Linked DNA regions of Tamandua tetradactyla. The protein of the gene in region 2 purifies or fractionates together with the protein of the main gene of each other region. This does not show direct contact. Links are inferred from orthologs where the notes say so. Each region holds a gene or a part of one and is shown on either strand. Other genes may lie near its edges.

What was found.
Region 1: the proteins of TGFBR2 (region 2) and ENG purify together in Homo sapiens (affinity purification with western blotting; 3 studies listed by BioGRID). This does not show direct contact. The link is inferred for Tamandua tetradactyla from reciprocal best matches to the Homo sapiens genes TGFBR2 and ENG.

Annotation. Positions count from the first base shown.
Region 1 is NC_135328.1:50,691,690-50,708,050, forward strand, and holds the start of ENG (endoglin), read right to left. Parts: upstream 8,753-16,361; 5' UTR 8,394-8,752; coding exon 8,327-8,393; intron 437-8,326; coding exon 285-436; intron 1-284. UniProt on the Homo sapiens protein: Vascular endothelium glycoprotein that plays an important role in the regulation of angiogenesis. Required for normal structure and integrity of adult vasculature. Regulates the migration of vascular endothelial cells.
Region 2 is NC_135341.1:57,539,965-57,556,604, reverse strand, and holds the start of TGFBR2 (TGF-beta receptor type-2), read left to right. Parts: upstream 1-4,518; 5' UTR 4,519-4,948; coding exon 4,949-5,042; intron 5,043-16,640. UniProt on the Homo sapiens protein: Transmembrane serine/threonine kinase forming with the TGF-beta type I serine/threonine kinase receptor, TGFBR1, the non-promiscuous receptor for the TGF-beta cytokines TGFB1, TGFB2 and TGFB3.

The DNA.
Region 1 (16,361 bases), on a different chromosome or scaffold from region 2:
ACACTCACCTGGCACACTCTGCTAACCCCCTGGCACTTCTCCACTGGGTCAACAGCCAAATCCAACTCTTTCCACCGGAGTCTTGTAGTGGCACCTAGAAGTCCTCCCTGAGCCCACAAACACCACCCACTGTGAGCCTTGGGCGAAGTCCCTCCACCTCCTTGGCAGGAGCCCTGCTGAGGACTCGGTCCACTGTTCAGCAATAGCCACGGTGCAGGCTCCCCTCCTCCCCTCAGCCTTGGGGCCTCCCCTGGGCCCACCCCTGACCCTTCAGGGGCACTCACCCTTGGGAACTCCAGAAAGAGGAGATGGACTTCAAGAGTAGCGCTGAGCACCTGGGCCACGCAGCCCTCGGAGACCTGGCTTGTGGTGTATATCACCTCGCCCCATTTGGGGTCCACAGGCTGTAGGTCACAATGAACTGTTTCCGCCAGACCTGTTGACGAGAGGGCCAGGTAAGAAAAAAACGGGGGCCTCTGGGTACAGGGCACGGGCTGAGGGCTTTATGATGTCTTCACAGCTGCCCTAAGGGTGAGCATCTTTATACCCACTCCACAGATGAAGAAACTGAGGCTCAGAGAGGAGAGTCTCTGTCCCAAGGTCACACTGCTACTTTGTGTAGCGTGGCCAGATAAAAACCAGAAAGCCAGTTAAATCTGAATCTCAGATCAACAATGGATCATGTTTCTTTTTAGCACACGCATGTCCCACATATTCCATGGGACATACTTCTACGAAAACAAATACCCATTAATTTTCTGAAACTCACATTTAACTGGTCACCCTACATTTTTATTTGCTAATCTAGCACCCCTAACTGGGTGGCAGAGCTCACATACGAACCCAAGCCTTAAAGTTTTGTTTCCGCCAAAGAAGGTGGGAGCAGAGATCTGGAAAAAAAGCTTCCCCTCTGGTGTCATAAGAGACCAGGAAGAATGCCTCTAGTTGGAGGAGGGTTGAGTGCTTCCTGACCCCCAGGGACAGGGTGACCCAAAAGGGCGGCCCAGGTTAGGAGGGAAGATGCCGGAGGAGGCCGCAGAGGCTGCCACTGGGCAGCCCGGAAACCCAGGTCCTGAGGGAAGTGAATGGAATTTCACCCTGACCCAGCAGGGAAGGAAGAGGAAATGAGGCTCCTACACCTCGTCCTGAGGAATGTGCTGGGGAAAGGGGGGGCTCCCGAGGAGGGAAGGAGGAGAGAAGGGGAGACTGTTTGGAAGTTTGTGTCTCCATCTTGTCGCGCTCACTTCCTGTTTTCTTGGAGATCAAAGATGGGCGCGGAGGGACTGGCTGCACGTCCAGCTGACGCCAGCTCGGAGGAGGGGTGGGGTAGGGAGGTTTCTCCTGAACCCAGACTTTCTTTTGCCTCACTCGGCCCCTTCTCCACTTTCCACAACCTTGCTGGACTCAGGGCACCCCAGAGAACAGAGAAGGTCATAATGTGGCCGCCTGTCGCCATGGCGACACCATCCCCCAGCTCCATCTTGGGGAGATTCAGGGCAAGGACATTAGGCCACATGGGAGCCCAGGCCTTACGCACTCCTGCCCTGACCCTGAACTGACAGTGCCCGGGACGCCAGAGAGCCCAGGCAGCATGGCCTTGGGGCTAAAAGCAAGGTCCCGAGAACCAGGCAGACCTCGGTTTGAGTCTCGGGCCCAACACTCAGTAACCATGTAACTCTGGTGGATGGTCTCACCTCTTCGGGGCTCAGTTTCCTCGTCTGTAAAGTGACAGTAAGAATAGAGCCCACCTCAGAGCTTGCTGGGAGGGTTCCATGACACAGGGCATATGCCCATTGTTCTTATCATTCCTTGACTGACTTCGGTCATTGTAGAACTGTCTAAGGGGTGGGGCGATGTTGTGGGACGGAGAAGCCTCCTAGGCTGAGTGAGGGCCCCCTGGGAGGGAAGTCACCGACATCTCCAGGCCACCTCACTGCCTCGCCCCAGTAGACTCAAGGTGCCATCTCCCACGGTTTCACCCCTTCCAGCCTACCAACGGGCTCAGTGCTCTCCACCCTCTCCTTATCCCTATCAGCGCACACAGTCTCCTTGGCTGTTAGTCCAACCCCTCCTCTACAGATGGGGAGACTGAGGCCTGGAGTCGGGGGGTGGGCCAAGGTCATACAGCAGAGGGCTGACCAGGCCAGGCCTGGGACCTGCCTCTCCCCACATGACCCGGGGCCTGGCTTGCACAGTAGCACAGCATCTCCCTCCTTCCCTTCGAACTTTCCCTGCCCCCTCCCCAGACTTCCAGGAACCCCAGTTCCTCCCGGATCTCTGGGGCCGCCTGGGGCCACCTCCTCCATGCCGTCAGCGTCAGTGGGGAGAGGCCACAGGCCTGGCCATTATGTAAGGATCAGATAACAGGCCAGGCTGGGAGATCAGATAAGAGGTTCATTTATTTTGGGGCCTTTTCGAATCCCAGCCGCCCCCACCCCGCAGACGAGAATGGGGAGACAGGAGGGAGTGTGACGCCCAGGCCCGTCTCCCGGAGCCGGAGGCGGGTCCAGACAGAGCTGAAAACAATCCCCTGGCACCAAGGGAGACACAGAGACCTCCCGGCACCCAGGTCAGAGGAGGCGCCGCTGGGGGCCTGGGTGTCCAGCGCCCAAGTGAAGGACCCTGGAACCACCTCCCCGCCACTGGCCCCTTCATCCTCCTTCCCCACCCGCGGGCCCACTGAGCACATGGCCACCTCCAGGTCTTTCCAAATGACCACCCCAGCTCTTGGGGGGCCACGGACGGCAGTGGTCGGGAGAAGCAGCTCTGGAACCAGATGACTGAATCAATCCCAGCTCTGCCTCTTTGAAATTGGTTACCTTGGGCAGTAGCCTAACCGCTCCAAGCCTCAGTTTCCCCATTTGCAAAACAACAATTATCACAGCAAAAGCCTCCCTCATGCTTACTGGGAGCCAGATACAGCGACAAGGCTTTATGTGAGGTAACTCATATGGCCCTAAGAGCACCTCAAGAGGCGGCTACTATTGTTATACCCACTTTACACACAAGAGTCAAGCATCAGGGAAGTTAGGATCGAGGATCAGACGGGTTAAATAATTTGTCTGAGTTTATCTAGCTACTTAGAGACAGGGTATGAATTTGAACCCAGATGCTCCAGCTCCCGAGTGCAGAACCCACTTCACAGACGGTGTGTCAGTCTGAGGAGGTCACCGCGTTCAGTGCTCCGTACACCACACCCGTGATTATTCTTTCAGAATACCAAAGCAGATTCTTTCTGGCAGAGGTCTTTTCTGCTGGAAAGCCTGTCCCCTCCTCTTCAGCCACTCAGTCTCGCTTTGCTCCTTCCCGTGCAAGCTCTCCCTGAGACCTGGCCATCAGAGAGACCTCAGCCATCCTCTGCTCTGGCCTCTCTCATGGCTCCCCAGTGCCCTCAGGGTCAAGGCCATACACTGCAACCTAGAGTGGAGTTGAAAGAGTGCAGGCTTGGGGTTCTGACAGATGCCAAAGGCTCAGACTCTGATTCTGCCATCTCTCACCTTCCATTACATGCCTTAATGTCATTAACTGCAAAATGGAGGTGACGATGACCATAAAACCTTCCTCATCGAATTGGTGAGAATATCAGCGGGATAACACAGGCACCATGCTAAGCTAGCTCCTGAGTCATGGGCTTTGCTCAGGAACTGACACCTATTGTCATGATTATGCCCAGTCAATGGAGACATGCTGGGTTTCCCCCACCCTCACCCCAAATACACACATTGCTCCCTACCACTGCCATTCCCTTTCCCAGAGGAATGGTCTTCCTTTATTTGACCATTTGGCCAACCTCTATTCGTCCTTCAAAACCCTATTCTAGAAATCTCTCCACTAGAACCAGTTTCTCCCCTCTCAGGGACACTGGTGCCTGGACGTCCACCTAGAATCACACATGCCTAAGTGTGTCATTTTTATTTGTCTGTGTGTCTGCCTCCCCCAGCAGACAGGGAGCTTTTCCAGAACAGGAAGAAGTCTAAGTCATTTTGAGTCCCCAGAGCCCAGCCCAGGGCACGGAACAGACAAACACGAGCAGACATTTGTGGAATTGGCTTGCCAGGCCTGGCTCTCATTTGCCAGATGACCTGTGTCAAATCCCTCCACCATTCTGAGCCTCAGTTTCCATGTGGATACTGGGGTGGCAGGAAACAATGGACAGGAGATGCTCCACACTCCACTGGATTCTGAAGTTCTGAGATTCTGCCTGGGGGTGGAAGTAGGAAGAGAGGGCAAGGCATTGACGGGGCTACTGAGGGTAGGGGCAGGGTCTCATGAGTTGTGCTCCAAGTGGGAAGGTCACGGTAGGGGAAAGAGAAGGGGCCAACTTCCTGGAAAAAGACTATGGGGCCACAGGGAGGGCCCTATCATCTCTCTGTGGCAGTACAGGGCTGTAAACAGGTCCAGAGCTCGAGTCCCAGATGCCTGCTTCTGGGCTGTGCCACTTGGGCCAATTCCTTCACCCACTGAGCCCCAGTCTCCTAATCTGTGACATGGGAATAACAGGAATGCTCTACCCCACAGGGCTTTAATGAGTACACATAACGTACCTAGAGCAGAGTCTGGCACACAGTAAGCATTAAATAAACGTCACCTGTTACTTTGGCCCCTTAACCCCTTTCCCCTCCTCAGCCCTACCCCCCCCCCACACACACACAGGTGTGAAAGCTAGCTCGGCTCCTCCTGAATCTCCTCTTCAGCCTCTAGGGCTGACCCTGCAGAGCCCGAACCGGACCTGGGTGGGGGGATCTCAGAGCCAGGGCAACCAGCTCTCCAAGTCTCTGGAACCCAGGCTGCCTGAAGTCTTGGCCCCAGCTTGGAGAAGGGGAAAGAAGTTGGGACTGGGTTCGAATCTGAGCCTACCACTTGTCCCAAGCCTCAATTTCCTCATCGATAAACTGGGAATAAAGGCAAAGAGCCAGCACAGTGCCTGATGTACTGAGGACACTGGAGAGATGGATCCCTCCCTCTTGCCCCTCAACATTCCAGCTCACTCCAGGTCCTTGAGTCAATGGACCAGGCTGTCCTCAGAGGGCCCAGCACTGACCCACCTGCGACCCTGAGCAAGGCTTTCTCTCTCTGGGCCTTAGTGTTACCATCCGCCTGCCTAAGGCAAGGGAGAAGCTTTCAAGCCATGGCCCTGCAGAGACCCACCCTCTCCTGGCTCACCCAGCTCCTTCTCCAACCTTGTTTTCCTCCTGGCAAATGGGTAGCTGTCCCCAAATGCAGCCTCTAAATGATGGATCTATCCAGTCTCTGGTCTGTGTCACTCGTCCTCCTCTCCGATGAGTCGCGGAAGTCCCAGACCACACCCCTGCTCCATCCTCCAGCAAACGATCACCCGCACAGAGGAAACATTCTTCAATCCCAGCCACCTAACATGGGCCACAAGCCCCCGCACCCCTTCTTCTGGGACTCTACCCAAAGACCATTATACAAAATATGGAAAAAGGTGCATGTGCCAAAAACGTGTGTTGAGGTGGTATTTATAACCAGTACTCAAGGGGAAATGAACTAAATATGCAGCAATAGGGGATTCATTAAGTAAACGATGGCTCATTTGAAGGAGAGAATATTCTAGAACCACAACGGGATGATTATGGAGTCCATCTGACAATATGGAAACTCCTGGGACAGGAGAAAGGTTATGTAAGACACCCAAATTTGATCCATCTGGATTTAAATTACCTGAAAAAGCTAGACAAAAGCTAGAAGGCAATCCACCAACATGGTAACAGTATCTATATTACAAAGGGGTTTGGGAGATAATGTTTTCCTCTCTTATCTACCTTCTTTGAGGGGTAAGCTGAGGCAACTAAGTGGTTAAATTGTTTTTTGTGTTTTTTAAATATCTCCATATGCTTGCTCTTAAAAAAAATCCCAACATAACAGAAAAATTTGACTTAGATGGTGAACGTCCCAGAGAGAAACCTTTATGTTGGAAAAGAGGAGTGTTGGGTACACAGCCTTCCAGAATTTCCTCTGTACATATTGTACATTTTTACTATTTTATTATGATAGAAATATTGGGGATCTAACAGTGTGCTGCAGTCATCTGTCCACGGCAGTATACACAGAGACCCGTCTTTTTCCTTGGCGACTGCTGCTTAGTATACCTCTCCGTAATAATTTATTTAACAGGTGTCCTGCTGATATACATTAGGTGGCTTCTACTAGTTGGGTTTTGGTTACAGGTGTCTTTGGGTCACACATCTTTAGAGAGCCGGGAAAATATCTCCATAGGGCTGACCCCGGAGGATAAGTTGCTGGGACCAAGAATCATGCATAGTTAAAAGTTTTGAGAGTTGCTGCTGAGTTGGGCTCCCAGAAATCTGGACCCATTTTTGGACCTGTTTCCGGACCCCTGTGGGCATGAATGGGGACACTGGGTCACCCCATCCCCACCCGTGGCGTGGAAAGAGCTGGGTTCCAGCCTGTAAGGGCCTGTGCTCTGCAACGTGCTGGAGCCCTCATCTGCCCTGCGTGGGCCTCGGTTTCCCAGGCCGTACGTGAGCTGGGCTGGATGGTTACCCTTGAACCGTGGTGTGCCAGAACTGGCTCATGCCTGCTCCTAAGAGTGGGCTGAAAAATTTCCAGGTGTTCTCTGAACTAATTGTCAGACAGTGCCATTATTTCGAAGTAGCTCATATAAACTTACAATTATATAAATTATATTAAAAACATAGAAACTCATCACCTCCTAAATAATTTACTCCATTTTACTATTATTTCTGCTCTTGAGGTTATCTTTATCTACTGTATCAATGTGGTGGAAATACCGCATGATGTGGGCTGCTGTGCGTCAATTCCTGGCTGGGCTAGTGAGTTGGTAACTTGACATCAGCCATGTGGGAGCATTGACACCATGGAAATTGACAGACATCCCAAATCAGATTCCCACCCTCCTTTGCCTGCTCCCCCAGTCACCAGTTGTTAATTGTTCACCAGCATACCTCCACCTTGATTCTGTAAAACCAGACCCAAAATGTCTGCATGGGTCTTTCTCTAATGAGCAAGTGGAATAGGACGTTACCATGCTAGAAATGGGTGAGAGGATGGGAGAGAAAGGCGAGACGGACCTACAGGCACGTCAGAACCCAGATAGGGGTCTGACGGAACCATGTGAAATCAGGCAGGTCTGAGTTTACCTTTCCTGTAAAATGGGGGCGGTGATGGCAGCCGGCTTGCAGGATGGCTGTGAGCCATTTTGAGGGGTTGCCGCATCATACATGGTTAGAAGCAAATGTTCTGGGGAGCACAAGCCTGGGGTCTAATCCCCCCTAAGCCACTTGCATCTCTAAAACTTAGTTCCCCATGTATTATGGGGCAGTGGTGAGAGTTGGAGAGACCAAGGTTTGGTAAATTTTAAATGCTGAGGGGTGGGGTGAGATGGGGAGGGGGTGGCCGTGGCTGCTGCTGTTCCCCTTCTCGTCTCCCCCTACTGCCCCCCCCCCCTCAGGGCTTCCTCCTTCCCCTCTTCCTCCTCCAGACCCTGAAGGGGTGGCCCTGGGCTGTCCTGTCTTGTGGCTCTAGGAGGGTGAGGGGCAGGACACAGCGGAGGCACGGCAGGTGAGATGGGGCTGGCACCCCACCTCCTCAGGACCCCTCCTCTGGTCAGTTTCAGAAGCCCGAAGAGGCCAGGAGCCCCGGAGAAGCCTCCAGGCTGAGGAGCTCTGGCAGGTCCCCTAACCAGGAGAGGAGGGGCAGAGAGGCGGGAGGGCCTTGCGAGCTGTTCCAAAGGGTTCTGGGAGTCGCTTCTCCATAAAACAACACAGAAACGAGCCGCAGGCCTGAGGGCTCGCCTCACCTCCCGGCCAGGTCCCCTCCCACAGCAGCCCCAAGGGGGGAGTCCTGTCACCATCCCCACTCAGAGGTTGGGGAAACGGGCTCAGCGACACGAAGGCAGCACCCCCAGATCACACCGGGTAGCTAAGGAAGTGGAGGTTTGAGCCCTAGCCTGACTCCGGAGCCCAAGCTCCAAAAACTAAGGCCCAGGGTGCCACGCACCGAGCTCCTTCCCACACGCTCCTCAGGGCCGCGCAGCTGGGTGATGGGGACGCCAGCAGGCCAGAGCTAAAGTGACCAGCTCATCCCGGTTTGCCTGAGACACTTTAGCTCTGAAAGCCCTGCGTCCTCCAAACCCAGCAGCCGGGATGGTCGGTCACCCTGTGGCCTCCCCCTCTGGATGTCCAGGTCCCCCACCTCCCCCCAGGAAAGACACCAGACAGGCTCCACCAGGCCTGAGGTCAGGGCACTGACCGGGTTCAAGATCTGCCAGGCACTGACCCACCCCGGGCCTGAGTCCCCCCACCCCAGGTCCCTGGACACCTACCTGTGGGGTTGAGGCTGCAGACGGCCAGCAACAGGGCAACGACCAGGAGACGGGCGTCACGGTCCATGCTGTCCGCTCGGAGGTCTGTGCGCTGGGCCTTATCCGGTGTCCAGGGGCAGGGCTGTGGGTGGGTGCGGGGGCCGGCGTGGGCTCACGCAGGGACCCGAGGGGAGCAGGCGGCCGGAGCGACAGCGTCCCTGCTCCAGCCTTCTGCGGGGACAGCCGAGGGGTCAGGAGAAGTGGGCAGGAGGGCGCAGGCCCGGGCCCTGGGTCCACAGCTGGCCAAGAAGTGGGCAGGGAGGGGACACTGGACTCCTGTGGCAGCAGCGAGCGCGGTGGTCCCGTGGACACGGATGGAGCCTGAGGTCTGACTGTCGGCTGAGGGGAGCTCCCGGCTCATCCAGCCCGGCCCGGGGAGGCAGGAAATGCGCTTCCTTAGAGAAGGGGCCGGGCCAGGCCGCCTGCCAGACGGTTAGAGGAAGTGCCACGGGCTTTGTCGCTGGGTGGGGGGCCTGGGTGGGGGGTCAGCGGGGGTGGGAGGGCCCAGGCTCCAAGCTTGCCTCCCCACCCTCTCCAGGTCTGGCCAGTGGGGGTGCATCTGGCAGCCCCTGGAGACCAGATGCGAACAATCACCCAAACAGCCCACCAAGGGGCCCTTCCCAGGCAGCCCTGGCTGAGATGGTTCCTGTGGGACTCACAGCCTGGGAACCTGGTATTCCCATTTCGCAGATAAGAAAACAGAGGCCCAATGAGGTGAGATTGTTGACCAGAAAGGGGATAGAGCTGGGATTCAAACCTGTGCCCCTCAGGGTCCAAAGCTGGCTGAGGTAACCATAACATGGGGCTTCTGTCCCTCTGCTTTGCAGGCAGGGAAACTGAGGCCCAGAGTAAGGAAGGAACACTCCCAAGTCGGCCCAGCAATTCACCTAGATCTGGGGTTTCTGAGCCCAGAGAGGGCAGGAGGTCTGCCCAGGGCCACACATTTTGTGTCTGATCCCTCCATGGGTGGAAAATCCTCCAGGGACAAAGGACAACCCCAAACAAAGGAGGATGGGACAGACCTTCAATGGCATTTCTGAATTCAGATGGCCCTGGGTTCAACACCCTGCACTGCTTGATCTGAGCTGTGAGATCTTGGCCAAGTCGCCTAAACCGTCTGTCACCCTGTTTGTAAAGTGAGAGCACAACAGTGCCCTCCTCTCCAGGCTGCGGTGAGAGTTCCCGGGTCGAGGCAGCACCGCACCGAGCCCTGAACCCGACACGCAGAAGCCCCCATCAGCGTTCCCTGGCCCTGGGAGACAATCCTGGAACTTGGGAGAGCAGCCTGGCACTGGGCTGGGGCTGGGGCTGCAGGTGGGGTGGCCGTTCATGCTGCAAACAGAAAGCACCTACTATGCGTCCAACATGATACTAGTCATGGGCAGAACCTAGGCTTAGGCCCAGGGGAGCTCAGAGAAAGAAGCCCGAGCTTCCTGGGCAAGGTGGCATTTAGACCTGGCTTTTGAAAGACTAGGTGAGTCTGGGGTGTGTAGAAGACAGGGAGGAGGTGGATGGGTCGGGCAGGGGGACCAGCCTGAGCAAAGGCATGGAGGTGGGATGTGCTTGGCCCACCATGGGACAGGGTCAGGAGAGGGCAGTAAGCCTGGAGAGGCAGACTCCAGCCCTGTTCGAGGGGGTCTTGAATGGCAGGAATTTACCCTGAAGCCATGGGAAATCATGGAAGGTTCTGGAGGAGGAAACCAGTGGGGCTTGACTTTGAGAAGACAAATCTTGGCATGTGCTGGCAGTACCCAGCAGGAGATGAAGCCATTCTCCCTGCATCTGTTCTGGATCACAGTGGGGACATCGTGACCCAGGGGGTGGGGAGAAAATTGGATTCCTGCGTGCCTCTGGAGGGAGGTGTTAGTCTGGAATAAGAGGCCGAGGCCTGGCCCTAGATGCCTCCGACGCTCTGGCCTGGTCCGGTGACCAGAGTAGGTCATATGTTTGTCTTTGCAGGAGCTGATATAGGAGTGGGAAGGGTGGGCGGGTCTCTTTGGATGGGGTTTGGGGAAAGGGTCAGCTCACCCAACCCCATGGCTGCCTGGCCAGTTCCTGCCATGAGGCATGGGCATGGAGTCAAGGCAGGCCAAGGAGGGCTATGAGGGGGGCAGAGGGGGCCACCCACAGAATGGTTATTACACTGTCTTTTCCTGCAGCTGCGGAGATGAGGACATGGGCACCATGAGGCACAGGGTGGCTTCAGTGGGGAGGTGGGTAGCTATAGGGTCCCCCGGGCCCCAGTTCCAGCATCTGTGCCCCAGGTGCAGTAAACCCAGCACCCAAGGGCTGGACGCTCCTTCCACGCCAGGCCCGCCCTAGGCAGTCACCTTATCAGCTCTGAGTCCTCACAGCCTCCCTGTGGCCCTCACATCCCCATTTTGCAGAGGAGGAACCCCAGGCTCCCAGAGGTATAAGTGGCCCCTCAGATCCACAGCTGGCAGGTGATGACCCCAGGTCCTTCACTGCCACCACCACCTGGGTTGAACTTGGAGTGGAGCAGTGATGTCCTGGTGACTGTGGGCATCGCAGGGTGGGGTGCTGGGGGTGTCCAGGGGTGGAGATAGGGACGCCACGGGAGGCTGTTCCAAAACCTCCCTTCCACCCCCACCCTCATGCTGAACAACCCACCCCACCCTTGTTACAAACAGGACCCACTGGATTCTCCGGAAAGCAGGAGCCACTTCAGGGGGATATGAGGAAGAACTTGTAGAAAACTCTAGGGAGACAAGTTAACAGGCCAAGCCTTTGATCTTGAGTCTTGCTCTTAATGAAACTTATTTCTGTAGCAGAGAAGCTGAACCTACCTATAATTACGCCCAACCAATATCATTCCTGTTAACCTTAAAAAACACCTAGGCTCTCTGGTTCAGGGGAGATGGCTGAATAGGGTAGATTGAGTCAGGTCTGCTCCAAGGAAAAGTTAGAGAAGGGATGGGAGGGCCACTGAGACGGCTATTCAAGAGCGCAGCTGATCTGGGAGAGCCTTTTGCACCACATAGGGCGACCCTGGTTGCAGAGGCGGAGGAATTGAGAACCAGAAAACTGGAGCCTAACGCAGAAGCATGGAGCCCACAGTTGGGCACGGATGGGGAAACGGGGACTACTAGAAAGTAAGCCAAGCCGCGGGCCCTGAATGCGCTACTCTCATCAGTGCAGCCCCGCGACCCGCGACCCGCGACTCACCCCACACCCCACGCACCTGAACACCATCACTCGCCCCCACTCCCCGCGCTCCAAGAGCCCCCCGCTCATCAGCCCCCAGAGTGCGCACCCACCCCATACCCCCACCCCAAGTGCAGCCCAGCCTACCTTTCCTGCACACCTTCTGAGCACTACCTCCTGATCTCTCCTCCCTGCAGGGTGTTGACAGTGCAATAAGGCTGCGGGCGCATACCTTCAGATCTGCGCATCAGCTGACAATGCTCCTAGACCCGCTTGGCCACCAGTCACGCCCCTCAGCTCTGGAAGCATCCGTTTGTGGCACTCCTAGAACCGCGCATGTGCACAGCCCTCAGCTCTGAGAAAGCACCGACCTGCGCAGCCAGGTCACACCTGCCCCAGTCCATGAAGGCAGGACACGGTCCTGATGCCTTGCTCTGCGCATGCACACAAAGGGCCCTGCGCCCTAGACCAGCACCCACCAGGGTTACGTCCCCCAGACCTGTACACACGCACAGCTATGTCCTCCCTGGCCCCTGGGCGCCCACGTTCTCAAGCACCAGCGTAACATCCCCAACCTGCGCCTTTACCTGGGCTGCAACGTATCACTGTTGTACCCCACCCCATACCTTGCATCCGAGTCCACATCCACCCCACAAACACAAGGCCTTAGACTACCGAAGGGAATCAACTCCCAAAGTAAATCAATCAAGATATTTGCATACGGGAGCCAAGACAGCTTAGTGAGGTTTGGGATTTAGTTCGTGCTCCAGAGCCACTAGTAAATAACCCAGGAAAAGTACAGAACAACTGCTGGGGTCATGTCAGTGACTGGACACACAGCATACCCCAGTCTGGACCAGCTGGACTGGCTGCGAGCCCCCCAGAACCGGGAGTCCCCCAAGCCGCAGAGGCCGGCGCCCATCCCCCACAGGCAGCTTCCCAGAGGGGCTGAGCACAGCCAAGCTCCAACTGTGGAATTAATGAACAAATTCTTACTACTAAAAAGTAGTAAACTCAGCTCAGCTGAACCTCGAGTAAAAGCTGAGGTTGCTGGTTTTTGCTCCAGCGCAGAGGGGGCAGGGCTGATGGAAAAAAAGGTTTTTTTGATCAGGCAGCACAAAATATTTGGAAGGGTCTCGACCCTGAAGGAAAAGAGGGGACAGATAGGACCTGGAGATACACAAAGCAACATAACAACTTAAGCTCTTGATTGGCAAACCCAAGGAATGGGGATCCTACTCTGAAAAGGATTTTTTTTTTCTTTCTTTCCCTTTTTGTGTCTGTGTTTTCTATGGCTTGACTGCTCTTTGGATACAGCTACAGGACTTCTCAGGCTCCAACTGCCCCAGGCATGGGCAGAATTAAGCTTGTCTGAGAGCTTGTCTGGAGCCTGTGCCTTCCCCAGGAGAGGGGTGGGGCCCAGCTCAGGTGGAATCCTTCCCTCAAGGAATTCAGACCCCAGGGCCTGGAAAAGTGAAGTGATTAAAGCCAGCCTACAACCTCTCCTCTGTCTGCACCATGCCCCCATAAGGGAGAGTCTGCTGAAGTTAAAGGTACTGCATCACCTTATCCTGGTGGGACCTGCAGTCAGACATGTGTCACATACTGGGCAAGATAGGAAAAACACAGAGTTCAGAGGCTTCATAAGAAAGTCTTTCAACCTGCTGGGTCTCACCCTCAGAAAAATGACGCAGGTGACTCTTTCCTTCTGAGTGGAAGCCAGTTTGGTCTGGGAAAATCTGACTGGGGTCTAAAATACCTATGTAGACCCTCCTAAGGAAAGGGAAAAAAAGGCACCATATAGGCAGGGCAAGAAACAAGAAAATAAGAACTGAAAAATTCTGATCTGTTAAACCAAACCTAAGCTAGAGGTCTGGAATAAGCTGAACTGAATGTCAAAGAACAGATAGACAACAAAGTCATCCAGCAAGAAAATCCTAGGTAAAAAAAGTGAAAATGACCTCCAGAATAAACTAACTAAGGAAATTAAATGTATAGACACCAGCAAAAAATAAAGAATCATACTAGAAAAATAGAAGTTATGGCCCAGTCAAAAAACAAACCAACGATTCAAATGAGATACAGGAGTTGAAACAATGAATTCAGAATGTTCACACAGACATGGAAAACCTTGTCAAAAATCAAATCAATGAACGAGGGAGGATATAAAGAAGGCAAGGAATGAACAAAAAGAAGAAATCAAAAGTCTGAAAAAACAAATCACAATTTATAGGAATGAAAGGCACAGTAGAAGAGATGAAAAAAACAATGGAAACCTACAATGTTAGATTTCAAGAGACAGAAGATAGGATCAGTGAACTGGAAGGCAGGACATCTGAAATCTGATAAGCAAAAGAAAATAAATGGAAAAAAACAGAAAAATATGAGCAGGGACTCAGGGAATTGAAGGACAATACGATGCACATGAATATACATGTTGTGGGTGTCCCAGAAGAAGAAGAGAAGGGAAAAGGAGGAGAAAAACTAATAGAGGAAATTATCACTGAAAATGTCCCAACTCTTATGAAAGATTTAAAATTACAGATCCAAGAAGTACAGTGTACCCCAAACAGAACATCCAAATAGACATACTCCAAGACACTTACTAATCAGAATGCCAGAGGTCAAAGAGAAAGAGAGACTCTTGAAAGCAGCAAGAGAAAAGCAATCCATCATATACAAGGGAAACCCAATAAGACTGTGCATAGAAATCTCAGCAGTAAGCATGGAGGTGAGAAGACAGTGATATGATATATTTGAGATACTAAAAGAGAAAAACTTCCAACCAAGAATTCTATATCCAGCAAAAATGTTCTCCAAAAATGAAAGGAAAATTAAAATATTTTCAGACAAAAAATCACTGAGAGAATTTATGACCAACAGACCAGCTCTGCAAGAAATACTAAAGGGAGCACTAGAGACAGATAGGAAAAGGCAGGAGAGAGAGGTGTGGAGAAGAGTGTAGAAATGAAGACTATCAGTAAAAGTAAAAAGAAGAAAAATTAGATATGACATATAAAATCCAAAAGGCAAAATGGTAGAAGAAAGTACTGCCCTTACAGTAATTACTCTAAATGTTAATGGATTAAACTCCCCAATCAAAAAACATAGTTTGGCAGAATGGATTAAAAAACAGGACCCATCTATATGCTGTCTACAGGAGATGCATCTTAGACCCAAGGATAAACATAGGTTGAAAGTGAAAGGTTGGGAAAAGATATTCATGCAAACACAATCAGAAAAGAGCAGGAGTAGCTGTACTGATATCCAACAAATTAGACTTCAAATGTAAAACAATTAAAAGAGACAAAGAAGGACACTATTTTAATATTAATAAATATTAATTTGTTAATAAAAGGAACAACTCAGCAAGAAGACATAACGATCATAAATATTTATGCACTGAGCCAGAGTGCACCAAAACACATGAGGCAAACACTTAAAAGAAAAATAGACACATCTACCATAATAGTTAGAGACTTCAATTCCTCATTCTCATCAATGGACAGAACATTTAGACAGAGAATCAATAAAGAAACAGAGAATTTGAATAATACAATAAATGAGCTAGACTTAACATTTATAGAGCATTACACCTCACAACAGCAGGATATACCTTTTTCTCAAGTGCTCATGTATCATTCTCAAGAATAGACCAAATGCTGGGTCTCAGAGCAAGTCTCAATAAATTTAAAAAGATTGAAATCATACAAAACAATTTCTCAGATCATAAAGGAATGAAGTTGGAAATCAGTAATAGGCAGATTGTGAAAGCCTTGTGTCTGATGCTCCTTTTATCTACTTTATGGACAGATGAGTAAACATGGATTAAAAATAAATAAATAATAGAGGGAATAAATATTAAAATAAATTTAGTAGATTGAAATGCTAGTGATCAATGAAGGGGAAGGATAAGTGGTATGGTATGTATGAATTTTTTTCTTTTTTCTTTTTATTTCTTTTTCTGAATTGATGAAAATGTTCTAAGAAATGATCATGATGATAAATATACAACTATGTGATGATATTGTGAATTCTTGATTATATACCAAGAATGGGGTGATCATATGGTAAGAATGTTTGTGTTTGTATGTTGTTATGTTTAAAAAATTTAAAAACTGATATGGGGAGCTTCATGGAACAGAAAGCCGGGAGAAGAAGCTAGCAGATGATGCCGTGTTCACCATATGTCCTTCCAGATGAGAGAGAAGCCCTGACTGTGTTCACCATGTGCCTTTACAAATGAGAGAGAAACTCTGACTATGTTTGCCATATGCCCTTCTACTTGAGAGAGAAACCCTGAACTTCATCAGCCTTCTTGAATCAAGGTATCTTTCCCTGGATGCCTTTGATTGAACATCTCTATAGACTTGTTTTAACTGGGACATTTCCTCGGCCTTAGTACTGTAAACTAGCAACTTATTAAATTCCCCTTTTTAAAAGCCAAAAAAAAAAAAAAAAAAAAAAAAAAACTGATATGCAGAGGACCAGAAAATTCACAACTATATGGAGGCTCAACAACACACTCTTAAACAACCAGTGGGTCAAGGAAGAAATTACAAGAGAAATCAGTAAATATCTTGAGGCAAATGAAAATGAAAACACAACATATCAAAATTAATGGGATGCAGCAAAGGCAGTGCTAAGAGTGAAATTTATTGTCCTAAATGCCTATATCAAAAAAGAAGACCAAAAATCAAGGAATTAACTGTCCACTTGGAAGAACTAGAGAAAGAACAGCAAACTAACCCCAAAGCAAGCAAAAGGAAAGAAATAACGAAGACTAGAGCAGAAATAAATGAAATTGAGAACATGAAAACAATTGAGAAAA
Region 2 (16,640 bases):
TCTAGGTCTATAACTTACTAGTTATGTGACCTTTACATATTTAATCCATCAAATCAATTTCTTCATCCATAAAATGAAGATTAGAACAGTGCTGTAAGGACATGCTCCAAAATATTAACAGCAATTATCTTAAATTGTTGGGATTAAGGATGTTTTTCATTTTCTGCCCTTTGCTTAACTGTATTTCAGATTTCTTTTGCCTATAATTAACATATTTTTTGCAATTTAAATAAGGTTACAGTTTTTAAAAGGTCTATCAATGCTTCTATAAACATACGGCATAATTTCAGATTCTATTAATGTCTGTGGATATTCTGTTAATATCTGTGAACTACAACATGGGAATGGATTAGGGGAACAAATATTTTATTTCTATTTTTCCCTGTATTGAAGATGAGATATACCCACTGAGAACTTATCATTTGCAGGGCACATAGTGGGGTTCAAAATTGGAAAAGGTATAATCTGTACAATAAAGGACTTTACAATTACTGGAATAGGATTCCAACAAATAGACAAATAATTAGAATGCATTCCAAGTCATAATGGGACAAACATTTAAAAAATAGGTAAAATACAATGAAGGCTACCTGGGTTCTTCCTGGGAGAAGAAAGATCTTATTAGATTGGGGGGGATCAGGAAAAGTTTCCTGGAGGAGCTAGCTTTATGGATGATCCTTAAAAAGTGGGTGACCCTAATAATTTCACTCACATCTCGGGGCTTACTGATTTGCTTCTTAATAAGGGGAACATTGGTCAAGAGATAATAGCTGAGATTGCAGATTGATGATTTGCATGGAGAGGAATCTCCCTGTCATCTTCTATAGCTGCCAATAACCTCAACAGCTGCGTGTTAGAAAGTTCAGAGGAAAAAAAAAGTTTTTGTCTCATCACTGCTGGGAAATTCAGGGTATGGGATTAATCATATTTTGATTCAGTTTAATTGTTTGTATGTGTGCAGAGTTTGTAAAACTGAAAAATGGCTGTCAAGGTGTATTTAAAATCATTTTTCAACCTTGTAGGTATAAAAATTACCTTCCTTATTTTAAAAATCTTGAGCCAAACTTTCATCTTTTCCTGTTTCCACCTCAAATGGCCCATTTTATGCATATATATATTAACCACCCATGAGAATACACAGAAAATTTGATTAAGCCAAATACACAATTGTACATGAAAAAAATGTCTTAATCTGAGGTTATCATCTTTTTCTCTCAATGGGAATCTCTAACAGAAGGGCATATTGACAGATTTTTAAGATTGCCAAATTATAATGTACATGAATTTTTATGTCAATGATTTCATTGTGATATTTTCTGAAAGATTAATTTGTTCTTGGCAATGCTGAATTCATACTTTTCTCAATTTCACAGGAGATTGAAAATTAAATCAGAAAATTTAAAGGCAAACAAAAGTAAATCAATGTTAATGATAAAATATGACAAAGGCTACCAGTTAAACACTGCACTGTGAAATCAAATATCTCAATCCTGGTCTCTAGAAAATGAAAAAGAGGAGACCTTTGTCTATTAAGTTTTCTGTTTCTTGGAGGGCAATCCAGACAGTTAGAGAGAAGTGTCTTCTGGCTGGAACACCAAAATATGTTGCTGGACTTTGGTTTCCAGGTTCTTGACTGCGCTGCAAGAAAGAATTCAAGGGTACTGAACAGATAGAGCAAGCAAGTAGGAAATTTATTAGATACAAATATAAGAGGACATACAGGCACTCTTGCAAGTAAAGAAAGATGGCAGGCAAGAGCCAAACCTGGCCTCTAACAATACAAAACATCTATCTTTCTGATAACCACAGAAAAAAAAAAAAAAAAAGCCTTGGAATTGATGGGCATTTATTTGCTTCAGTGTGATCTGGGGAGTAAGGAAGTACATGTATATTGCCCACAAGAACTTATGCAAATTTAGAAAAGGAAAAGAAAGGGGAAAATAATTCACATATATCTCCATTCTCAGGAAATGGAAGTGGTGGCAACATCACCCTCCAGATATAATCTGTTCTGTTACATCTCAAATTACCAGGTCATATACTGCTTTTTTTCAGAGTTATGAAGTAACTAGGATAATTAAGTAAAATTTTCTTATGAACTTTTTTTTTCCTCATTCATTCATTATATTAGCTTCCTCGGGCTGCCATAACAAATTGGGTGTCATAAATAAGATAACTTTATTGTTTCACAGTTCTGGAGGCTAGAAGTCAAAAATCAAGGTATTGGCAAAATTATTCTCCCTCAGAAACCTGTAGGGAGACTCCTTCCTTGCTCCTACTTAGCTTCTGGTAGGGTGCCACAATTCTTGGTATTCCTTAGCTTGCAGGGGCAGCACTTCTTCCCAGGTGTATGTTCCTGGGTCCAAATCTCTCTTTTCTCATAAGGACACCAGTCATAACCCAGTTTTGCCTCATTTCAACTAATCACATGTTCAGAGACCCTATTCCCCAAAAAAGGGTAACATTCACAAGACAGGGATTTAGGATTTGAACACTTCTCTGTGGGGTACACGATTCAGCCTATAACATCCATTCATCCAACATGTATTTATTTAAAATCTATTAGGTGCTAGATACTGAGACTATAATAGTGAGTGGAGGGACGATATGATTCCTGCCCTCCAGAAATTAGAGTTAAGTTAGGAAGAAGAATAGAAATTAAGGAATGATGCAAATAATTGAAAAATAAGTGAGAAATTAGAGCCATGGTAAATGTTAAAAGGAGAGGCATATGGTGCCAAGAGAAACTGATAAAAAAAAATCCACTTAGAGAAATATACTCGCCCATCAAGGAAATTATGATTCACCAAGGAAAACCAAGAGTTGGCTTGGTGACGAGGAAGAGAAGGAAAGAGGAAGGGAATTCACACTGAGGAAGGCCCTGTGTAGGAGAGACGGGGCATGCTAAAGGAACTTAGAGAAGGCTCCCTGCATGTGAGAGGAAGTAGAAAATGGAAGATTACAGGAGAGGTGGGGGGTTGAATACATTTAAAAAATTGTTTTCTGTCTTTTCTTTATCTTTAGAGCAGTGGGAGGCTGTTTAATTATTTTAATCAGAGGATTGGTATAATCAGGTTTTCAGCTTGGAGGGACTCCAGCTTTGCTTTGAGGAATGACCCTGAGGAAGAGTGGTTAGGAGATTCCCAAGTAACTCCAGGAAAGGGATAATAGTGACAGAAGTGGGGGGAGGGGTTGTAGAGAAAATGGGGAAAAATGGATTTTTCAATGAACCTTCCTCCATGTTAAAGGGTCTCCAGTTTTGGCAAGGCTGTTGGTGGGAGAGAAGATGTTCAGCTACGCTGAGTTCACCCACTTCCTGCATCCTGAACAAGGGATGTGGGATGGGCGTTTTCCTAAAAGACACATCCAGAGGCAGCTTCAATGCTGGAGCAGTGGGGGTGAGATTTAGGGTCCCAGGATTAAACAAATGAGCCCTTTGACGTGGGTTCAGGAGTAGGGTTTCAGGAAGTATTTACTTTTATTCCCAGTGAAACTGACCACCTGCCTCTGCAAACAATTGTTTTCTCAGATGAAGGAATTCATTGTATAGCCTGCTGGAAGATCTCCTGGCCAGCAAGCTACACAAAATCTAAGACGCTGAAAACTGGACGTAGTATGATCATATAAGTCATTCCGGCCAGGACATATCTGAAAGAGAAAAGGGGGTTCTAATAATAATTAAATTGTGAAAATAGATGTAAACCAAAATTACCTTGGGTAAAACTGGTCGCCCTAGCAAGAAGGGAAACTTGAAAGGTCCTATCCTGCTCCCACTAGTATCCTTTTTGCAAATGAGATGCTAGGTAGTTCTCTTCCTGGGCAATAGTGGAATGCAAACGCTGGCGTTTGGTGAATCCCAGGTCACTTTCATTTTTCCATTTTCTGCCATACTTGATACATTCTGAAAATAACATTTCCTCCATTATCATTCTGTGATGGTTGACCGTTTACAATTATGCACGGACTCAACCCCAGGAAGAGGCAATTCTAGAGCCTTGCTACTGAAAATGGAGCCAACTCCAAGGAGTGCAACTCAGGCCCCCCCAGACCTATCGAATCAGAGGATTCCCAGGTGGCCCATACACGCATTAAATTTGAGAGAACCTGATGGACTTGGTATATACCAGTAAGAAGACATTTTCACAATGTGACACCCATACATATATACATAACTGAACATAATTTTAACGAAGTCATTACTTATCCTTACTATTTTAGCGAAAAAACAGGCTTCGACTCACGAAAACAGATTTCAGGATTCACTCATGGGTCCCGACTGATAGTTTGAAAAACACAACTCTGTAAAGCACCCAGGAACAAACCAAAGGTTAGGACTTGGGAAGGTGGGCTTCGTGGGGGGACTACAGAAAGTGTGGACACTTCCTAGGTTCAGCTGCTTTTCTGACAGGCCTGCCGTTAGTCATTCTGCGCAAATAACTTGGAGAGTGGTGTGGGAGGGCGGTGAGGGGCAGCTGAAAGTTTGCCAAAGCCCTCAGAGGGGCTGGTCCAGGGGAGATGATTGACAGCTTTGAGAGAGAGCCGGGACTGAAAGCCGAGGAGAGGGAGAAGGCTCTCCGGCTGCGAGAGGTCCTGCCCAGCTGTTGGCGAGGAGTTTCCTGTTTCCCCCGCAGCGCCCGGGTGAAGTTGTGAGTGAGTCACTCGCCGCACGGACCGACAACTCCTCAGTGCGCGCACACGCCCGGGGCAGGAGCCAGCCTCCTGCGCAGCTCCCCTTGGCCGCCGGGGGCCCCCCCGCGCCTCGCCAGCCTTCGGGCCCCCTCCGTGCTCGCTCGCGGGCGCCACATCTGGCCCGCACACTAGGCCTGCGGGCCCGGCGCGGGGTTCGGAGAAGGCGCGGCGCGGAGCTGGCGAAGGCGCAGCCAGGGGACCGGGGAGGCGCCGTCCGCTGCGCTCGGGGCTCGGTCTATGACGAGAAGCGGGGTCTGCCATGGGTCGGGGGCTGCTCAGGGGCCTGTGGCCGCTGCATATCGTCCTGTGGACGCGCATCGCCAGCACGATCCCGCCGCAAGTTGAGAAGTCGGGTGAGTGACCCCCCAGCCGGGGCTTGGCGGACTGACTGGGGTCTCCTGGGCTCCCCGCCCCTTCGAAGTGCTTGACAGTCGAGCCGGAGCAGCTAGCGCTCGGGCGGAAACGGGAAAGTTTCCTCTCGCGGCACCCACGCAGCCCGACTCCGGTAGCCGCAGGGGTGCGTGAGTTTTTCTTTAAAAGAGAAGGAAAGTTAGAGTGGAAGGGGGCCTGGGGCACGTCTGGCCCGCATTGTGCGAGTAGGAAAAGGCGTTGTGTTGGCCGCGGCCGAGGCGAGCCCCCACCCCCGGAAAGGGAAGTTTGAGAAGTTGGTTTATCTGAAGAAGGCAGGGAAGCAGCGGCCCGGAGCTGCAGCCATCGAGGCCGCCAAGTCAGCTCGCACACCTGGGGTCACTGCGGGCCGTGGCGATGCTGCGCACCCACCTTCTTCTCTTCCCGAGACACCCCTTTAAATGGCCATTTATTCCCTCCTTAGCGCCTAAGAGTGAAAATGCATTCCCCAAGGCGGGCTTCTGAGCTATTGGATAAAAGTTTCAAGAAAAGAAATGATTTTCAAAGCAAAGTTATCTGGCTCCACTGACATCCTGGCGTTGGATGGGCAGTGGGGATGGTCAGATGGAAGGCTGAGTGCCTACTAGCTGCTGGGGATGCTGCTGAGAGGAAGGCAGTCCTGCCTGCAAGGAGTTGGTGATTCTCTGCAATTCTTGTTTCGGTTGGAAATGAAAGGGTTAAAATTGTGCCTCGGCTGCCCACCAGCTTTTAATCTCTACAGTTTTGGGGGGGGGGGGAATACAGAATTTAGGTTCCTAAGGTTTTGTTATGCAAAGTGTAGAATCTCTGAGACCTCAAAAGCTAGAATTTTTGCAGCTAAGGGCCACATAACTGATTATCTGCAGCTGTGGTCTGAGTAACTGAGTATTTGGGCAAGTCATATGACCTTTTTGGGCTGCATGCAGTTTTCTCACCTGTAAAATGACACAGTTGGATTCAGATTAGATAACTTGATGTCCCCTTTATCTTTAACATCTTGTGGGCTCTTTTATTTCTTTTGATGGCTTGGAGATGGCCTGTGCAGATTTGGGATGAAATTTAGAGGATGACACTCCATATCATGGGGAGACACAGTTTACACTTACCTTTAGGGTGGTGTGGAAGGTGGTAAATTTCATAGGCTGCCTATTTGAAGTAGACCAACGGTAACCTGAGGGTGGGAGTTTTTAATGAAATGAGGAAGAAGTACTGTTGTAAACAAACAAACAAAAATCCTAACACAAATTTAAGTCCTAAGGGTTTAATAAAACCTCACTGTTTTTGTTTTGGGATGTTTTCCTACAGTGCAGTTAACAGAATGCTCAAGAGTCTCTGATTTTACTCTAGACTCTTAAAAACTGAGCTCTGTCTTTGCTAATAAATAATTAAAAGTGGCACCCTTAATTTTCTGCATACATTAAGAATTAAGACTTTTGTTTCAGATTATGAAAGAAGAAAATTAGTGGGCTCCAATTTTGTTTGTCTACATGGGTTAGGTTTTGTTTACAAAAATAAGATTTATAATTTGCAAATTCTGGGCTCAGCAGTTCATGAGTCAGTTACATTCCATATATATATATACACTTTTAAACAATCAGTTTAAAAGCCTGGTAATTTTCTATTTGTCTTTTTTAACAAACCCCACTTTTATACTTTTATGGAATTAAAGTTTCAAAATAGTTGAAATAAATAATTTTGAATTTATATTCACTTGACCCAAATTAAATTTTCAAAGATGGTTGAAGATTGAGATAGTGATAGTGAAGATGAGAAACCTAATTCTACTTGCATTTTAATTTTCTGTGTCAGGAAATAGTTTCAGTGTTTTCTAACATAGTTGGTTAACGGTCAAATCATTTTTTAAAATATCTTAGAGTAAGATAAGATATGAGGAAATGAGTTTGTTTATAGCCTCCTATTAGGTAAGCTGAGAGTATATCATACCATCATCTGTTTAGTAGATTGAAAAGAGAGTAATAGATTTCAGTACAAGAATAAATTTCACTGCCAAGTATATCATTACTATTATTTGACTTAGTAGATTCGCTCTTCATAAGTACTCAAAATTAAGAAATTACTCTTTTAGGGAAAAATGTAAATGCCTGAAAACTGTTTAGATGTGAAAAATATGACCTTTACTTTTCACATACCTAAAGGATTCTTTACTTTCACATACCTAAACATTCATACAAGTGTCATAAGAATAAATTTCTTTCTGGTTCCTACAATCACATTAACAGCATTGTTACTTCTGTCAGGATCAGAGACTAGGAATCATTAGGCCCAGAATTTGATCTCTGGTCTATTTACTTTATTTCCATAAAGCACATTTCCCCCCCAGGCTACTTCCTTTAGTAACATCTTATTTTTAACCAGTTATAGTTTAAACAAAATACTAATTACATTTTGAATTCAGTGCCGACTTTTCAAACTAGCCATCCCATGGTGACGGCTCCTCTTTATTGTCTGTGTAGTCAGCATAACTGGTAAATGCTTTCCATTTCAGCTGACTGTTGTTACTCAGTTATCCATGACTTTTTAAAATTTTTCTTTATTCCTTTTTAACCCTAATTTTCCAATTAAGAATGACACCCCAGTGCCATTGTAAAAAGTGACCGCTGCTAATTCATTCTCAGCAATGTTTATTAGGGGTCTCCTTGTGCCACACAGGATGCTCAGCCCTGGAGATATCATGCTGAATGAATAAGACTGACATGATTTTTGCCCTCATTGAGTTTATAACATTTGGGAGAGTGCTGCAAGCAAAGAGGATGTACATTTTAACTTGGAAGAATTATTGAATACTGGTGTTTCATTTTCTAGATGCCATTTCCAAAAGCCCGTGCTGTTAAATGCATTAGGATGGAGCGCATGCTGAATGTTTCCTTCTCAGTCCCTCTGAAAATATGTTTTCATTGACAGATCTTCACTTATCTATCTCTACCTTGTTCCAGGGCCCACGTAGGCCACCTTGTATTCCACTTTCCATTCTGTATCCAACGTAATGGACCCCATATGTCCATCCAGCTTTTCATTTGATGTAGGAGAGTGTAGGTAGGGTACAAGCTTTGGAGTCAGGCCATCTTGAGTTCCAGACACATTTCCCATTACTGGCTGTGTAATTTGTTGCAAATTACTTTATCTCTGTAACCCTCAGTGCCCTCATCTATTAAGGGGATTACAGAATTTGCTTCAGGGAGTTTTCTTAAGGATTAAATGAAATAATGCTTTTAAGTGCTTAGCATAATGCCTGTGGCATAGTAATTGATCAATAAATATCAGCTTTGATTATTATTATTATTAACTTCTTAATCTGGCCTAACAAGGCCCCCAGTGACCTGGTTTCCATCTGACTCTGCAGGTCCACCTCCTGCCATGCCCAATACTTTCTCCTCTCACTGATGATATTTCCAGTCCACCCCATCACCATGCACACATGCTGCCAGCAGTGTAGGCAGCTGTGCCATTACTCAAGCTCTTTCCTTTGTCTGGGACTCCTGTCATCTGGCTAATTTGCATTCATCTTTTAAGACTTAACTCAAGTGTCATCTTCTTAAAGAAACCTGCTGTTAATGACCCAGGTAGGGCTAAGTGTTCCCTTCCGGGTACAAAACTCTCTCAGCTCTTAATAACAGTGAAATTATATCTTTACATGACTCACTTGTTCGTTAGGTCTCAAAGGCAAGGGGTGTGTCTTACTCATTTCTCTATCCCCAGGGTCTTCTGCAGTGTCTGGCACATCACTGAGCACCCAGGAAATGGTAAACTGAACCTCCACCTCATCCTACAGGGTGTAGTGCAACTTAGGTCTGGCATTTTAGTGACCAAGCAGTGATTGTGTCTTGGGGGTTTTCTCTGTTTGATAAAATCTTTATTTTCAGTAAAAATCATGTTAACCCTGATCTAAATAGGCAATAAAGAACAGTATTAGTACCTTTATTCTGATGAGATATGGAGAAAGATGTTTCAACTTCTGACAAACATGACAGAGAGCTCCTAGGAGTTTTCTTCCTACTCCGTTGGCTAAACATTTTGAATTAGTGTAGGACATTCAAAGCCATTACAAAACTTTTCGCAAGTTTCATCAAAAAATTGTCCAATAAATACAGAATTCTTTTTTCCCCTAGAATCTAGCCAAAAGGAGTCTTTCATTAAAATGAAATGCTAAAATGTAAATTTAGATTACAAGTTTCTTTTTTCTCATCGGGGTTTAATGTTTTGATCTATAAGCAGTGAAGCAGAGTTGATCTCAGAGAAGTGTGGTACCATAGAAGCCACTGTCTCCTGAGCACCAGGTCTGATGCAAACCAACAAAACCGTTTAAAATAAGCTGCAGAGGAAACTTGCTTCCTGGCTATAGCATGCCATTATTTAGCCAGTTTCCACATAAAAGCACAACTCTATCACCTTGTTAGCCTTTGCCCTTCAGACCTTCCTCTATGGCTTCAGCAGATTTAACTTATGATTTGCGGTGAAAATGACTTAGATGATAAGCGTCAGCAGCAAAAATGCTCACTTCTTATTTTGTACTCCCCTCCTTTCCTTTTAATGGTTTCCTCCCCAGGTACTTGTTGCTTCCAACTGGAGCAAGATAATGATTATTACTCTTCTTTGCCTGGCATGTTACAAGTTTGGAATGCTGTGCAGGTATACTGATTCAGCTCAGGGAGAAGTAGGATGAAGGAAGAGAGGGAGAAAGAACTAGCATTTATTGAGAATCTGCTCTGAGCCAGCCACTTGACGTTACTTATTTCATTTAATCTTCAAAAGGAACTCACAAGATAAATTTTATCATATTTATTTAATAAATAAGGAAAATGGAGTCTGCTCAGTGTCAATTGAGGTTTGCCTCTTTGGTTTGTGGTGGTGCATGTGCATTTGAAGCTTGTCCAGCTTGCAGTCTTCTAGGCTATGTTTCATGGAGTAGGATATGTGTGTGTGCCTGTGTATTAGGAGGGGATTTGGGGAAGGGGGTAAAAAATGTCAAGAGAGAGGAGAAACTTACATCTAGTATCTAATATCATCAACCCAGTGCTTCTTAGTTGATTGACTTGGTTTGCATTGATCTGTCTTCTTCCAGATCATCTTTGTACTAAAAGAAATCAAGATATAGGGTATGGTTTCTTTGCGTGAGGAAACTCTACTGTTTCTAGTCTGGTAATGGTGTCTTGGTGGTGGACCTAGTGTGACCATTTACAGCAGTTGAATTTGCACTGTTTTTAAAAATTTGTCTTCACGACCCCCAATTCTGGGCACTTAGGACCATCATCTTGTAGAGGCCTCAAACAACTGCTGGTTAGGGCAGTAAATGCTGAATTTATCCAACAGAACCAAAGGAGAAGGGGATGATTTAACTTTTGAGGTCCAACTAATTTGAAAACTTGTAGGTGATCAGCTTTTTAGATCTCCACACCCACCGTGGAGCAACTAATTGCCCCTTTGGGTGTAGTTAATACATGGCCTCTTGATTTTGACCTTTATGCTCTGAAGAGTTCTATAACAACTGTAGTTTTTTTTTGCAGGATCAGAGCTATAGATCATTGTTCTAGTTTGTAAGCGATATACCAGAATCAGAATGGTTTTATAAAAGGGGAATTTAAGTTGTAAGTTTACAATTCTAAAGCTGTGAAAATGTCCAAATTAAAGCAAGTCGATAGAAATGTCCAATCTAAGGCACCAACAAGAGGTTACCTTCACTCAAGAAAAGTCAATGAAATTCAGAATTTCTCTCTCAACTGGAGAGGTACCTGGTGATCATGGTGATGTCTGCTAGCTTTCTCTATGGGCTTCTTGTTTCATGAAGCTCCCCCGGGAGTGTTTTCCTTCTTCACCTCCAAAAGTCTCTCACTGCATGGGCTCTCCTAGTTCTTGTGGCTCTCAAAGTTTTTTTTCCAAAAATGTTTCCTCTTTTAAAGGATTTCAGTAAACTAATTAAGACCCACCAGAAATGGGTAGAGTCAGATCTCCCTCTAATCAAAGGTTAATACCCACAGGAGGGTGCGTCACAGTGCTGTGGAGATAATCTAATCACGTTTCCAATCTACAGTACTGAATAGGGATTAAAAGAAACAGCTGCCTTCACAAAATGGATCCGGCTTATTCTAGGGTACCTAATTCTTTCAAACCAAGGCAATCATCATGAAAGATTTAGCTGCAGGGCAACTATCTAAGACTGGTGAGGTTCCAATCTCAGTTGTTAGTGGGAAAATGAAATATATACATCAAATCTTGGCTGAATCATGTAATATTTATGCCATCAGTGAGTTTAGGGATGCTGAGTAAAATAGGCACTTTATTTGGAAGGAGTTGGGGGAGTTCAAGGATGCAGGAAAAATGTAGGGGAGATCTGATGATCCCCCAATGTATATTTACCATGAAGTAAATGAAACTTAGACTTCAAGGCCTCTCCCTAGAAGGGTTCCTTACAGTGTGGTTGATGAATGTCATCCAGCAAAGAATCTTACAGCTCTCATATAAAAGATACTCAATAGAGGTTTCCCCAAATTTGGAGACAATCTGAAAATCTTTCATGACATTCATTACCTATAATGATTTATGATCCTGAAAGAAACTTTTCCAAGTTATTCAATAATAAATTGCAAATTCTGATCAACTCTGCTAGAGAAAAGATTGAATTGTTTTTCTGTTCTCTCTATAGAGAATATTGCAGAATATCATTGGAAGAGGTGATCAAAGAATATGCAGTAAAAAAGTTGGAAAAATATTTCAGAGATGTATTAGGCATTTAATTAATACAAATATTTGTTTTCTTTTAAGTTTTATATTTGTGGTATTTGGAGTTTTTAAAAAGTCGTAATTTTTTATGATGCCATTTTTCAGTCTAAATAAATAATTTACTTTCACATTTGTATTTCTAGGCTTAAGTTTGTATTTGTTTTTTTAGGTAGTGCTCTGAAATTTATAAATTTGCCTTCACAAGCCCTGGGTCTACATCCAGGATTTGCTTGATGGCTTAAGAAATAAATGAAAAATGTACTCCCCCAGGCCTTACAGAGAGTAAGGCCTGCAATGTTATGTCATCAAGTCAAATCTTTTTCTTTTTTCAGGTTTAGCCAAATCTCTGTTCATTTTCCTAGTTTAGAGGAAAATGTATAAAAGAAATTGCAAAAATATATTTGCCACAAAATGTTACTGAAAGGTAACCCAGACCTGACCCTTAGGTTGAATGAAGAAAGACTGCTCAGGAGAGAGCTGGTGAAGACTACTGCAAACTGTCCTGGGGATCCTGGCTTCTGGTGACCGGGTTAAGTCTCTTGGTGTCTCAAGGTCTCATTTTCCTTCTATGACAGTGACAAGAATTGAACACGATGAGTTCTTCAAATTTTTTCTATTCTGAAAAGTTAGTAGAGGAAATCATTGAAGTTGATTAAGAAACCATTTACATAGTCCTTAACTAATAAGAAAAGAACATTTGTCAGATTTGACAAATATCACGTATTTTATTTTGGAGTCCATTGAAGATTACTACTATTGGGAAAAAAAAGAAGAAGGTAAAAGAAACCATAGTTATTTTGAAAATTTCCCACCACAGGTGTCTGAGCATGCATCCTGAATAAATAGCATGTTTACTTCAGCCAGAACTCATTCCTCCTTACAAAGAAAAAGCTTACTTGGTATTGGTGGCCTATCATTTTTCTTTGGTTAATTATGCCCTTTTCATTCTCTGTTCCCCCACATGGATAAAAATGTCTGTGAAGGATCTTGCTAAGGTAGAAAATTATCAAATGTTGCCACATTTGCCTTGTAATATCTGGGAAAAGAAACAAAGCCCCTGAAGGACTTTCTATGTTCTTCTTGAAAAAAAAAGGAAACTTGTCTGGATATAATTAGTGTCCTGTTGCCGTGCAAAGATGTCTCCACCACTTTTCTTAAAATATTCTCAGAAAAGGCAGAATTTGCTACAGATTGGCAGTTTTCAGACTGCTGTTTTAGGCAGGGGAGTAGCTGCTGGTCCCATAATTGCATTTCCGTATAGTATGTATATAGCACAGAGGAGGAATCCTTTAACTACTGCTTTAAGTGACTCTTTCATTACTACACAGCTCAATTAAGTTTTGTCCTCTAAAACCCATAGTATTGGGTGAAAAAAGACAGTATTTGTTCTTCAAGTATATGGAAAAAAAATTGAAATAGTAACGTTTGGCATTCACTATTCCTAAAGTTAATATTTTTGTAAAATAATTTCTAATCATCTCACTTTTTATTATTACAACTTCTATTATAATGCATTGTAAGTTTTTGTTCCCAGTCTTTTCGCCTTTCTATTTATTCTAATGAGCAATGTACCTGTCCATTCTTTTGTTGCAATCTTCTGTTCTCCATCACCTCCAGCTTGGGGTCCTGCGTGTTCTTCAGGAACCTCTTTCCTCCCTAAACACTCAGATTTCGTGAGTTATAATCCACATTGAGACCCAGCTGTTTTAATTTCTTGAATTATGAGTTCAAGCGTTCTGACTCTGAAAACGATGATTTTCCTATCGTCCCCTGGTAACAGCAACCGAAGGTGTTTTAATACCTTACTGCTATTCAAAAGGTGGTCCAGAGACCAGTAGCATTAGTATCACCAAGAATTTATTGGAAATGCAGAATCTCGTGTCCTGCCTCAGACCTACTGCGTCATAATCTGCATTTTAACAAGATCTGAAGGTTATTCGTATGCCTGTTGAAATTTGAAAAGCACTGTTCTGATAGCATTAAAGCATTTTCCAAATGGTCGCATGGTCTGCAGTGATGCGAGTGGATCAGGCCTGATTTGTTTCCATCAGGGAGGAAGAGGAGGATTGAAGGAATAGTTGCTTCTAGTTTCAAGAGTCTTGACTCCTTCCAAGCTACCAGGCCTGTTTTAATTGTATGTACCCAACACCCCAGGGCTGGCAGAAGAGAGAGCACACTGGCGGCCAAGTTGGTTAAATGAGTCATAGCTTTCAACCAGTTGGTTCCCCAAAGTATCCTTCATGGAGCTTTCCTTTGCTGATTGGCTCTTAGCCATATACTATAGAACCCAAGGATCCTCTTCTACACTGAATTCATTATGTAAACTATGTTTACCTTATTAGGCATGTAACCACAGACCCCCTTGACATATCTAGGCTTTGATTAATTCTGGAACTATTCTATTTTCTCATTTCTTAAAATACACAGCGCTCTGCTCTATGCAAAATATGTACCCAGTAGGTTAATGACTTAGTGACATAGGTTTTTCAAGAAGTGATTCTACTCTTCGACATTTTTTTAAATCCTCCCCTTTTGTCTTGAGAAATTTACTTGGTTGATGCTCAGTGCGGACTCACTAAGAGTTTTTTGAATCTTTCAGCATTGGTTTAGACTGTCCTGTGAGCACTGCTATTACCTTTTTCATTCATTGGCTTCTGTAATTATTCACATAAGGCAATTTTTGCACCTGTTACTTTTGTCCTGTAGAGATATGGGTCCCTGTCAGTTACCGATGCCCTTGAGTCACACGGTAGCCACAATAACCAGTTCTCACAGCTACTTTCCGATTTTTCCAAATCATTTCATTGCCTGATTTTGTTCATTTGCATTTGACATCTGAGCTTCACTTGACAAAGAAGAAAAACTTTCCATTGCAGCTTATATTTCATGTTACTTCCTGTTGCCCCAAATCGCATCTTATTCATCAGAATGATTTTTGAATGTTAAAATCTAGAACATCTTAATCAGACCTTTTATTTATAACAGGAACCTAGTTACGTGAAATACATAATCTTTTGGTTTCAGTTTTGCTCTTGAATTACTACCAGAATGCAAGTCTGAACTCTTCTTTTCTGTCATATGTAAGAATTTCCTAATTGGTTTCTGCCTGTGCACTTCCTTTGTTTATTATCTCTTCAACCTTTGTACATTAACACCAGATATGTGTTCTCTCTGGGCATTATTTTGAATAGGTGCCTCCCCTGCTAAAAAGCCTTTTATGTATCTTTGGTGATTACATATTTCTTGCTTCTTCTTTGAGGTCAGAGGCTACATCTGTATGTGTGGCTCCTCAGACAAGTGCTTTGCATGCAAGTGGGACACACAGGGTTGGCTTGATGAGTGTATGCATAGATGCAATCAAGCTTCTCTGACACTGCCCGTTCTGTTCATATTATGCCTCATACCCTGGCTCCTCTGGAGCCAGGCTTCCTCATGCAGCCTTTTGCTTTCATATTTCCTAGCTTATGACCGTTCTCCCCCAAATTTGCCTGGTCTGTCTTCATGCCCCACAACACCTCTACCCTTTGCCGTAAAGCCTAGTTTGAGTACTACTTCCCTTGATTTGATCTTTCTTTACTAACTCGTCTTATCTTCTCACAGCTTCTATAATGTCTTGCTTCTTGACTCACATGAATGTTTGCAAAGCTATACCTATGTGAGTGTGTGTTTAACTCCCTTACTAGATGAAAACTCTTTGAGGGGGAAACTTCTGTCTGATTCTTCCTCAGCACTTAGCACACATTCTCATTAAAAGGTTGTTGCTCTGTAGATTGAAGACTAGAGATGACTGTTTGTGTGTGTGAGAGTATGAGAGAGAGAGAGAGAGAGAAAGACTACTTTTCACCACGCTTTGTGCCACTGACTTTGATGTGTGTAGCTACCTGTATTGTTTGAGAGAACTGTAGGCTTGTGGGAATTCTCGATTGATCTGACCTTGATAATTGACTCTTTTAGTGGAGGTTTGCTCTTTTTGCAGTCTTAGTATCTCTGAATTTTGGGGAGCTGAGGTCTGTAGGAGTTAAGGGCTGTTGTTTTTCCATCCATCACAGACTGCCTTTGATTCATTTATCCTCTGATGTGTTAGTCTTTTATAGAGGGCCCCAATGCATTATGACTTAAGAGGTCAGAAAAGCTCATAAACTCAATTATACTGCCTGACTCAGGACAGATTGTTGCCACTTACTGCCTTTCATTTTTATGAAACATAGGTTATCTCCTGTCATTGAGATGGTTGGAGAAGGGGAAGCTGGCAAGGTCTTGATGGAATGGAGAATGCCCAAAGGTATTCTTCTTCACGGGGTCCAGCATTCCATATAATTCTTGGTTGCGGTTTTTGGAAAGCCTGTTAAGTGGCACGTTCTGTGTAGACTTAGATATGAAATATTCATTAGTTGGGAGCTTAGTAGAAGGGGTCTCGAAGGAGGGTCTTGAAGGTCTTTCGTTCTCTCCTTTACCCTAGACTATATCAGCTATCCTGCCAAGCCACCCTGAATAAGCACTGCTCCCAGTAGTATGCTTCCCATGCAAACACAATTTCCAGATAAATCTCCCCTTCTGTTCCATGATTTGCACCCATGAAATTCTGGAGCCTCCTCTTTGGAAATTCTGAAGCCACCACTGACTTCGTAATATTACAGACATGGGCTAAGAATGCCTGTGCACCTATGGGATATGAAATAAGAGTGTTTTGTCTTAATATTCTGCACACTTCTTAGGAATGGCTGAAATAGAATTCTTCAAATGGGATACTGTTGGCTGCTTTTTCAAAACCACCCCAAACACTTATCTTCCAAGAATTTGATGTTGATGTTGGTAAGAACATTTGTGAG